Callithrix jacchus: one gene and its partner. The protein of the gene in region 2 binds, or shares a complex with, the protein of the main gene of each other region. Links are inferred from orthologs where the notes say so. Each region holds a gene or a part of one and is shown on either strand. Other genes may lie near its edges.

What was found. The genes of interacting proteins can lie anywhere in the genome.
Region 1: the proteins of BCKDHA (region 2) and BCKDHB are in contact, whole or in part, in a crystal structure (PDB 1V16), measured with the Homo sapiens proteins. The link is inferred for Callithrix jacchus from reciprocal best matches to the Homo sapiens genes BCKDHA and BCKDHB. Residues at the interface, in NP_000700.1 of Homo sapiens: Phe155, Leu185, Gly186, Lys187, Arg189, Gln190, Gly196, Cys197, Lys198, Phe202, Val203, Thr204, Ser206, Pro208, Thr211, Pro214, Gln215, Val217, Gly218, Ala219, Tyr221, Ala222, Arg225, Gly244, Asp245, Ala248, Asn251, Phe252, Thr255, Leu256; in NP_000047.1 of Homo sapiens: Pro89, Thr90, Val92, Asp117, Arg118, Phe120, Asn121, Thr122, Pro123, Cys125, Gln127, Gly128, Ile129, Gly131, Phe132, Ile134, Gly135, Ile136, Val138, Thr139, Asp158, Gln159, Asn162, Glu163, Ala165, Tyr167, Arg168, Tyr169, Arg170, Ser171.

The regions. Positions count from the first base shown.
Region 1 is NC_133505.1:85,556,003-85,562,179, reverse strand, and holds the start of BCKDHB (2-oxoisovalerate dehydrogenase subunit beta, mitochondrial), read right to left. Parts: upstream 3,752-6,177; 5' UTR 3,729-3,751; coding exon 3,533-3,728; intron 1-3,532. UniProt on the Homo sapiens protein: Together with BCKDHA forms the heterotetrameric E1 subunit of the mitochondrial branched-chain alpha-ketoacid dehydrogenase (BCKD) complex.
Region 2 is NC_133523.1:36,694,175-36,699,159, reverse strand, and holds part of BCKDHA (2-oxoisovalerate dehydrogenase subunit alpha, mitochondrial), read right to left. Parts: intron 1,835-4,985; coding exon 1,628-1,834; intron 1,398-1,627; coding exon 1,256-1,397; intron 1,146-1,255; exon of another isoform or gene 1,022-1,145; coding exon 850-1,021; exon of another isoform or gene 1-849. UniProt on the Homo sapiens protein: Together with BCKDHB forms the heterotetrameric E1 subunit of the mitochondrial branched-chain alpha-ketoacid dehydrogenase (BCKD) complex.

The DNA.
Region 1 (6,177 bases), on a different chromosome or scaffold from region 2:
AAAAAACCCCAGCTATTTATTTTCCCAATTAAAAACAATACCTGATTAAGCTGGAAGCAAGGAAAAGGCCTATCATCCACAGCTGAGGTAGTACTTACTCATGGGCTCTTAAGATCCTGAAGTTCTCCCTACAATGCCCCCACCTTTGCTGTTCTTTTTTTTTGGGGGGGGGGGCCACCTTTGCTGTTCTAAAGCCTTCTGAGGAATACTGGCTACTACAAGACTTCAGAATAATTAATGAGGCTGTTATCTCTGTCCACTCATTGGTCAGATCCATATAATCTCCTGATTCAGGTGCTGGGGATGCTAAATGTTCTCAGTCCTAAACCTAAAAGATGCTTTCTTTTCCATTTCTCTGGCCCCAGAATCCCAATACCTTTTTGCCTTTGAATGGGAAAATCCTAATACCAAAGAAAAACAACAATACACTTAGACAGTACTTCCCCAGGGTTTTCAGGATAGCCCCCTTTTCTTTGCTTGAGCCTTAGAGTGGGATATGAGGGGTCTGCAATTAAGGAATAGGAGTATATTCCACTACACAGATGGCCTTCTTGTGGGTAGCCCAACCCTGGATGAAAATACCACAAAAGCTTTGAATTTCCTGGGAGACAAAGGTACAAAGTGTCCAAAAAGAAGATTCAGATTACCCTCCAACAGGTCCACGATCATATCCTTAGCAGCTAGCAGAGTCTGGCATCCAGAAGAAAATAAAAATACACAGAATGACTGAATAACAAGCTCACATCCATATAATACTCAAGAATCAGGGGCATGGAAAGGCCAGGATGAACTGTTCTCAGAGAACAACACAGTGTAATAAAGGCAGCAAACATACCAGCATAAAGCAGCATCAGTGTCACCTATTCAGAATCTAATCTGACTACCTCCTATTTAAGGAGTACCATTTATATGTCAAAACAACCAAAATAAAAGTATTTGCATCACATGTGAAAAGCAGAAAGTATCTTCAATATTTTTTAATAGACAAAATATTAGTATATAAGTAGCATGGGAGGCTTTGGAGTCAAACACATCACGATTCAAACTCTGGCTTTGCCACTTACCAGACTTGGGCAAGTACTAAAATTTCTGAGCCTCAATTTTCTCATCTTTAAAATGAGCATAATAATATCTAGCTCACAAGGTTACTGTGAGGATTATAAACTGATGTCTAACACAACACCTGGAAAAGAGCAGCTATGCAATAATGGTAGATAGTATTGGTATTGATGGGAAAAATACTGAGTATACTTTTAAAAATATGTAAATGCATCTAATAGTTCTTAATTAAAAATAAATCAAGTTAACAAAAACATAAGAAAATATTCCTCAATGGAAATGAAACAAATAAAAAGTAAAACAAAGTACATTTAGCACAAAATACCCAAGAATGTACATGCACACACCTGATTTTAGCAATTAACATCCAATACTCACACTCATACATATCATGGGGTATAAATTGGAGTATAAATTTGAACTATGCATTAAAAATCCATTAAAACATTCAGGACTCTATCCTAAAGAAATAATCTCAGATACATAAAAGCCATATACATGAAATGCTTATATCTGCATTATTTATAAAATTGCAAAACTGTAACAACAAAAACATAATGATAAGTATTTAATGGTTCCACTTCTGGAGTGAATGATTGATTCTCAGTTGTCAAACACTGTGTTAAGTACTACTACTGTTTTATGTAGCCCTCATAACAACCTTCTGAAGTAAGTACTATTATTAACCCCTTACATTATGAAGAACCTGAGGCGTATAGAGGATAACTCCAAAGTTACAGATAGCCAAAACAAGATCAAACTTAGGACAATTGGATTCCAGGATCAAGATTTTAACTTGTAAAAGAATTGTAGCATCTTTACTCCACAGAACATTTCTTCTAAATTCTCAAGAACATTATAAAAACTACATTCTAGGAAAATGCTTCTGATTAAATAAGTTGTATTTGTATTAAAACTAAAAGTATGGAAAATACTAAACTGAAAGGAAATACCTGTAAGGATACACACCAAAATAAAATGAAAAAAAAAAAAGATACACACCAAAATGTTAGCAATATTTACTGTCATGGGTGGTGATTTTTTTTTTTTACTTTTTCTCCATTATCCAAATTATCTGTAATATGCTTGCATTATTTTTATGATAGGAATAAGCTTATAAACATGGTATCATTTTACTTAGATTTTAGTAAATTTACAACTATGGAAAGGTGGATTAAGAAAACCTGTACTCTATTTCTCAAGTATTAGGCCAAAATTTCTTTGCTTTGAAGACAGAATTCAGGGCTCATTTTGATTGTGGAAAAAAAACCTACTATTAACCTTTATGGTACCTACTGTTACACGAGACACCCTCCTAGTAAATCTACACACATTTTAGTACGTTGTTTAGACTGGAAGTTCTGGAATCTGACCAATTAGATTCAAAAGCTGGAGCTTTGGAGCTACCACTAACTTATCTGTGTAATCTTGGACAAACTGTCTCAAGACTTCCATTAACCTAACTGCAAAACGGGAATAAAAACATTACTAACCTTTTAAGGTCGTCCTAAGCTAAGCCTTAAATGAGATGATGAAACGTACACATAGTGCCTGACCCTGGTAAGCACTCAATAAATCTTCATTCTTATCCACAAGGAAAGACACACTTCCAAAAATGTCAGCTCAAAGTGAGAAGTTATTAGACAAGGAAGCAATACATGTTTCCCTACAATTTCCTGATATTCTGATGAGAAACACTGGATCTTTAGAACATTACATGAAACTTGCAGAAATGGTAAAAATCATGTAATAGTCACACTATGAGGAGTTTGCTACATTTCCTTCCTATGGCTTCCTTCTCCCACCACCTTCACCTCCTTGGCTAAGTGGCAGCAGAGCGCAGGCACAAGCTCAGTATTAAGCTCAAATGGAAAGTCTGGATTCTTTCTCATCTCTAGGTAGAACCTGTTCTGTAACCTTGGGAAAATCAATTCAGTTACTTAGTCTCAGCAGAAAAAAAAAAAAAAAAAAATATATATATATATATATATACACACATGGATATATATGGTTTTTTTGGTTTTTTTCTGTAGATAAGAAAAAACCAAGGGACAAAATAAAAATGAACACTGAATCCTTACTCTATATATATATATATATCACCAAAGCTAATGGCCCAATCCCAGAGAGGCTGGAACACACCTAAGGCCTGAGTTGAGAAAGCAAGGATAGAGGAGAAAGGAAGGGGGGCGTTCCCTGGGCACCACCCCTCCACCCTCAGGCCCTTCCAGACAGCAGCATGCCCTCTCACCCGTCTCAAAGGTGCGGGGGAGCGGGGGCTGCGTCCCGAGGGCGGAACAATGACAAAAATTAGAACAAGAAGTGAATCACAGTTAGACCCTGGGGCAGGGAGGTTCTAGAAGGTAAGGCAGGATTAAGCTGGGATGCAAGGATTGCTGCCTGCCCCTCGCGAGCGTCGGAGAGCCTGGGAGTCTGGGATACAGCGAGACCTGGTGGGCAGTCCCTGGCTCACCGTACTCCCGGGGCTCCGGGTCCGGCTGGAAAGTGAAATGAGCCACCTGCCGCCTCTGAGCCGCATCCTTGCCAGTCGCGGCGGGGTGCAGAAAGCCCCGCGCCAGGCCCGCGCCACAGAGCCGACGCCAGTGCCCCTCAGCCCCTGCCGCCCTGAGCCTGAACAGCCAGCTGGCAGCCGAACCCACAGCCGCCATCCCCGCTTGCCGCCGGGTTTCTCAAGCACTGCAGCCGCTCGCTGCCCGTGGGGAGGGCGGAGTACCCGAGACGGCTTCCACATTGGTCGGGCCAGAGGGGCGTTCCCGTGAAATGGACCAATCGGAACTGGAAATTCCGGGGCGGGGAAGTGGACGTGACGAGACGTCCCGCTTCTTCTCCTTGTGCGCATGCGGAAAATGAGCTTGGTGAGGCGGAGGTGGAGCCAAGGAAATAGTTTCTGGGGTGGAGCCTCCCCGACGTCAGCTGTGCGGGCTTGGCTTGAGGACCGAGTCTGCAAAGTTCCAGACAGTGCCTGGAAGCGATCTTTACTGGTGTCATCTACAGTGCCATTTCCAATGGTTGTTTTCATTTTAAGATCCATACTTTTTTTTTTAATGTAACCCTTTTTTTATCCTCTCCTATTCTGTCTCTATTATTGTGTGAAAGCTGAAGAGAGCTACTGATTGGCATTGGTTATTGGTTTTGACTTTCAGAAAACTGCTGGAGTCACTGCTCAGAGCCTCCACTCCTTATTCACACCCTCCTTTAAATGCTTAATAAGCATATATCAATTTTTATTGATTTTGTTTTTCCAGATTTAAATGAGAGATGAAAGAGGTAAACTTAGATTTCATCCTTCAAATCCACTGAATAGCAATTCAGATACATTTTGCCCAGAAGTAGCGAAAATTACAAGACTGGCTTAGTCTAAGTAGCATTGAAACCTGGAGAATTTAAGCCACTAATTTTTATTTATACTAATCAACTATGTAAATTTGCTTTAATCGAAGTGTTTTACCAGGATACCTTCTCTATGAATATACCAAAAAAACATGAAAAATGTGAGATATTTTAAAATCGAAAATGACAAGAGGCAATCATGACTGTGTACGTCAGATGAAAATGAGTGGGTGGGGAAGGATGGGCCCAAAACAGATTTGAAGAAGAAAGGGAGGAAAAGAACATTCCTCTTCCCTTACACCTGGCCTCTCAACCCCTTTGGTTTTGCACAGGGGCAAGAGAGGAGAGAGTAGAAACTGGGTGAAAGGGAGGGCAGACAGATGTGTTTTCTGACTGAGATTGAAAAACAGCAATTAAAAACTGCCTAAGGTAGAACCAAAATTATGTCTCCATTTTTCCTACTCCCACACTAAGTCCAAAATTTAACATTTGGGAAATTTTTGATCTTGGCTTTTGTTAGTATTCACTTCTGCTGTTTTAATAGTGTGGGTTAGAGTGTTTTGCAAGCTCATGAAGAGTATTTTTGTTTTAATGAAAGAAAGTGGTAACAAAATGAACTTACACTTACATAGTCAAATTTGTGTTTAGAATAGAATAAAGAACAAGGTTAAATATGAATAGAGCTTTTTTTTCTACTTACTGATAGTTAACAGACCTGGGGGTGCTGAGATTACTTAGGTCTGGGAGAAAAACAGAAAAATAGTTTTTCTATTTTTCTACTGATGGGAATCTTATGGAACTCTGCTATATACAAGCCAATGACAAGCCACCATTGAGACAAATAAGATTAAGTCATCGTTTTAGTTTTAAAATGTCCAAGTTGGTAAAAAAAAAAAAAAAGACAGATTAGAGAAAAAAAGAGACAACTACAGTCCAATGTGATAGGGGTCCTAGAATAGTGCAAACAAAGTGAAACACAAAAAGAGCAATAAACTCTTCTTTAAAAGTCAAGTGTTTCCAGAAATAACAGGTCTGAGCCAGACCTAAAAGATGAGTAGAAGGTACCAGGCAGACTAGGGAGGAAAAGGAATTCCAAACTAAGAAAAGACCTGTGCAAAGGCTGATAGGCATGAAGAGCACAGTGCTTTCCAGGAAAAGAAGGTAGCTTGCTGCTCCTAGATTCAGGGAATAGGGAATGATACAGGGTTAACAGAGAAGGTAGAAAAAAACGGATTAAAGGGAGATTTTGAAGGTTTTGTATGCTGGTCTAAGAGGTGCGAACTTCCAACTACATGTAGCCAGGAACAGCAAAGATAGCACCTGCCAGATTCACCTACTTTACAAACTACTTTTTTTTTTTTTAATTTACCCCATCTCTACCACACCAATTGCCTGATATCAATGAAAATCTCTATGGTATTAGAATGGGACTTTCCTCCATTTGGTAAAGGACAGATTTGGTAAACTGTCCTTTTCTGGGAATTTCAGAAGTCTAATTTAGAAAGAAAGATCAGGTAATCTTTAAATGCAACTAGTAAATGCAAAAAAAAAAAAAATGGGAGTTTCAGTAATTTTGTGAACCAGAAAAGATCAAGAGTATGATTACATTTGAATTCTAGATTCCATTTATTCCCAAGTCCTTACAGCCTTCTGGTCCTGGGGTTCTATGAGACATCACCACATCCTTAAAATGTATTCCCCTCTTTGCTTGAGCTACTTTTTTTTTACATTGGTCCTAAATCTTTAATTTGACTGTCATTATATAGG
Region 2 (4,985 bases):
CGAGTAGCTGGGATTACAGGCACACGCCACCATGCCCAGCTCATTTTTTGTATTTTTAGGAGAGACGCGGTTTCACCATGTTGACCAGGATGGTCTCGATCTCTTAACCTCGTGATCCACCCGCCTCGGCCTCCCAAAGTGCTGGGATTACAGGCTTGAGCCACTGCGCCTGGCTTTTTTTTTTTTTTTTAAAGAGGTAGTATCACTCTGTTGCTCAAGCTGGAATACAGTGGTGCCATCGAGGATCACTGTAAGCTCTGCCTCCCAAATTCAAGGGATTCTCATGCCTCAGCCTCCTGAGCAGCTGGGATTACAGGCACCCTCCACTGTGCCCGACTAAATTTTTTTTTATTAGAGATGAGGTTTCACCATGTTGGCCAGGCTGGTCTCAAATCTCTGACCTCAGGTGATCCACCTGCCTTGGCCTCCCGAAGTGCTAAGATTATAGGCGTGAGCCGCCACACCCTGCCCTAATTTTTGTATTTTTAGTAGAGATGGGGTTTCACCATGTTAGCCAGGCTGGTCTCAAACTCCCAACCTCAAGTGATCTGCCTGCCTCGGCCTCCCAAACTGCTGGGATTACAGGTGTGAGCCACTGCGCCTAGCCTCGAATCAGTTTCTGAAATGGGCACCACCAGCATCCTCCTTCAAGGACAAAGAAGCGGAGGACAACGTGCCAAAAACACAGAGCCAGGACACATGTGGCCCCAGCAGCCTGGCTCCACAGGCTACATCTGAGACATCATCAGGGTCATTCCTGAGCCCCCTAGTTCGGTGCCCTGTAAATCCTTCCTGAGCTCTGCAGGCCGAAGCAGCCCCTGGCATACCCTCCCGGCAGGGCGCCCTCACCTTCTTGCGGGACTGCTTCCTCCAGGCCTTCTCCTGCTCCTCGTCCCACCAGCCTTGGCTCAGCAGGTAGTGCCGCAGCCGGGAGATGGGGTGGTCCTGCTTGTCCCAGTAATTGACCTCGTCCACCGAGCGGTATGCCGAGCTGTCGTCACTGGTGCTGTGGTGCCCGATCCTGCACAAGGGAAAGTGGCCCCAGGTCAGTGTGGGGCTCCCTGGAGTGGGGGTCAGGAGGGAGGACAGGGGATGGACTAGGGAAGGAGGAATGGAAACAGAATAAAGGCAAGGGGAAGATGCAACACGTGAGGTGATGAGGCCATGTTTTGGGGACGGTGATCCATATACGGAAGATGCCATGGTGGCTGCCAGCACTCTGGGGGAGCTGACGGGGGGGGGGGGCAGTGGGCACCTGTAGGTCATGGCCTCGATGAGGAAGGGCTGGTTCTCTGCCACAGCCCGCCGTCGGGCCTCCTTTGTGGCGTTGTACACAGCAAACACATCATTGCCATCCACACGGATTGACAGGATGCCATATCCGGGGCCTCGTGCTGCTGTGGGGACACAGAGAAGGCGGATCAGGCCAGGGTTCAGATGAGGAAAATGCATGGGGCTGAGGGGATGAGCAGGGAGAGGGCAGGAGAGAGCAAGGCAGAGGGCTCAGGACCTCGACTCCCGTGGCCGACCAGGTGCCAGACGCCACAGGACACAGGACCAGAACCAGGAAGGTGGGGAAATGGAGGGAAGGAGATGATCCCGGCCGGGTGAGGGTCGGCCAGCATACCAATGCCATCGCCACGGTACTGCTCGGAGGTGGGTGTGGAGATGGCATAGCCATTGTTCCGGCAGAAGAAGATGATGGGGCACTCGAGTGTGGCAGCAAAGTTGAAGCCAGCGTGGGCATCCCCCTCACTGGCCGCCCCCTCGCCGAAGTAACAGATGACGACCCTGTTGGCGTTGGCCCGCTTGGCTGCATAGGCCGCCCCTACCGCTGCAGAGGATGAGAGGGTGGTGAGCAGGGGCAGAGACTCACACTCATTCACACTCACGTGACCCAGGGCTCTGCGGCTCAGCCAGCAGGCCCTAGGCTTCGAGGGGAAAGAAAAAACCTGAGCTCCTGATGCCCCCCCCAGCATCTGCCCAAGTCTCCTCCCACTCGCTGAGAGCAGCTCCACCCTTCTAACCGCTCAGGCCGAAGACTCCAAGCCAAACTTCCCCCCATTCCCCTTCAGAACCTGACACCCCTCACCTCTTCCTCTGCAGCAGCACCCTGCTCAGGCCCAAGTTACCGAGCAGCTGCCTTGCTAGCCCACCACATGCTGCCCAATCCGTTCCCCACAGGGCAGACTGCTAACTCCATGAACAGGAGCCAGGCCAAGGAGGAGCAGACTCCTCCCCACCCGGAGTAAAAGTCAACGTTCCTGCTAAAGGCAAAGGCCTTGAGGCCCCACCCAACCTGCACAGTCTGCACCCCTCCCACCGCCTCCTGGACTTTACCTCCAACCACCCCACACCTGCCCCTCAAACACACCAGGCACACACCTGCCTCAAGACACCACATGGCTCCCTCCCTCACCTCTGGTCCATACTTCAGTGTCACTCTAGTGATGGCCACAGTCCCCCACTCCCTGCTGGCTTGGCTGCTCCCTGCAGGACCCCCGCCCCCCCCCACATACTCCAGGTGCTCCCTCTCCATCTTTGTTACTGTCTGTCTCCCCCACAATGGCAGCACCAGGAGGGCCGAGATTTGCGTTGCTTTTGTTCCCGGCACTTTAGAGTGGCACCGGCACAGGGCAAGAAATTTGTACATTTGAAGGGACTTAGCAGGGGCCCAGAGGGAAGGTTAGGACCAGGCCCCAGCCTTGTGGAAACCCTATTACCTTTAGCTCAAATGCCCCTGCCTCCGAGAAAGCTTCCCTGCCTACCTCCCACCTAAGAGGCTCGAACTGCTTCTTGTTCCCCAACAGAATATTAAGCTAAGGGGTGCAGAGCCCTCTGCAGCACCAGGTACAGTGCGGAGGTCTGGAGACACACAGACTTCGTGCATCTCGGCTGCCCTAGGGCAGAGAAGCCAGAGCCCAGACTGACCCTCCATCAGGCTACAGGCCCCCGAGGGCAGGAAGGGGTTCTGATTCCTTAGTCTCCACACTATGAGGGTGCAGACCTGGTACCCAGTGGGTTTGCTTTCCAAACAAACCCTTATAAGAAAAGAGGCTTCAGGGCACCTACAGTAAGCTTTGAGGAAGCTTGCTTGACTCTGAGGACTGAGGCAGACAAACATCAGGGCCGAGAACCCAGGCTCTGGAGGCACAGAGTCCATGACTGGAGTCCCTGCTCCTCTCCGTCTCTGCCATGTAACCGTTAGCGAGTGACTTCCCTCTTTCACTTCAATTTCCCGTTTTTTGTTTTTTTTTGACAGGGTCTCACTCTGGCTAGAGTGACATAGCATGATCTCAGCTCACTGCAGCCTCTGCCTCCCAAGTTCAAGTGATCCCCCTGCTTCAGCCTCCCAAGTAGCTGGGATTACAGGTGCGCACCACCACGGCCGGTTAATTTTTGTATTTTCAGTGCTTCAGCCTCCCAAGTAACTGGGATTACAGGTGCGCACCACCACGGCCGGCTAATTTTTGTATTTTTAGTGCTTCAGCCTCCCGAGTAGCTAGGATTACAGATGCATGCCACGCCCGGCTAATTTTTGTATTTTTAGTAGGGACAGGGCTTGGCAATGTTGGCCAGGCTTCCTGCACTTTTTTTTTCTCACTCGCTTGCTCTCTCTCTCACACACAGGACATGGACCTCCTGCTCTTTAAAACACGAAAAAGAGCAAATAATAACCTCTGCTCCCAAGGCCACAATGAGGGTGCTGTTATACAATGAACGTGCAGCATCGGCACAGTGGAACTTGGTGCCAGTACGCAAGGAGTGGCACTCCTTGCAACACTCAGGAACATGTGGGCTACGTTTGTGAGCAGATAAATGCAGCGGGCATGCGTTTGAGAAATCCAGAGTGTGGTCACACAGGCCCCTGAATGTGGTGGGGATAGCACTAGAGCCCTCATCTAAAGGGTCCCAGACAAGAGGTGCATTCAAAGTCTGGAGCACAGGCTGGGTGCAGTGGTTCACGCCTGTAATCCCAGCAGTTTGAGAGGCCAAGGCGGGCAGATCACTTGAGCTCAGGAGTTCATGACCAGCCTGGCCAATGTAGTAAAAGCTTGTCTCTACAAAAAATACAAAAAATCATCCAGAAGCAGTGGCATATGCCCATAATCCCAGCTACTTAGGTGGCTAAGTCAGGAGAATCACTTGAGCCCAGGAGGTGGTTACAGTGAGCAGAGATTGCATCATTGTACTCCAACCTGACTGAAGAGAGTCAAACCCTGTCTCAGACCAAAAAAAAAAAAAGTGGGCTGGGTGCAGTGGCTCACGCCTGTAATCTTAACACTTTGGGAGGCTGAGGCAGGCGAATCACCTGAGGTCAAGAGTTTCAGATCAGCCTGGCCAACATGGTGAAACCCTGCCTCAATGAAAAATACAAAAATTAGCTGGGCATGGTGGTACATACCTGTAGTCTCAGCTAATCAGGAGACTAAGGCAGGAGAATCGCTTGAACCTGGGCAGCAGAGGTTGCAGTGAGCCAAGATCGCACCACGGCACTCCAGCCTGAGCGATGGAGCAAGAGTCTGCCTTAAAAAAAAAAAAAAAAAAAGAGGCCAGGTGTGGTGGCTCATGCCTGTAATCCTAGCACTTTGGGAGGCCGAGGTGGCTGGATCACCTGAGGTCAGGAGTTCAAGACCAGCCTGGCCATCATGGTGAAATCCCATCTTTATTAAAAAAACAAAACAAGAAAAGAAAGGCTGGGCGCGGTGGCTCATGCCTGTAATTCCTACACTTTAGGAGACCGAGGTGGGTGATTTGAGGTCATGAGTTTGAGACCAGGCTGGCCAACATGGTGAAACCCCATCTCTACTAAAAATTAGCTGGGCATGGTGGTATATGCCTGTAATCCCAGCTACTTGGGAGGCTTGAGGCAGGAGAATCGCTTGAACCCAGAAGGCGGAGGTTGCAGTGAGGCAAGATTATGCCACTGCACTCCAGCCTGGGCATCAGAGCAAGACTCCATCTCAAAACAAACAAACAAACAA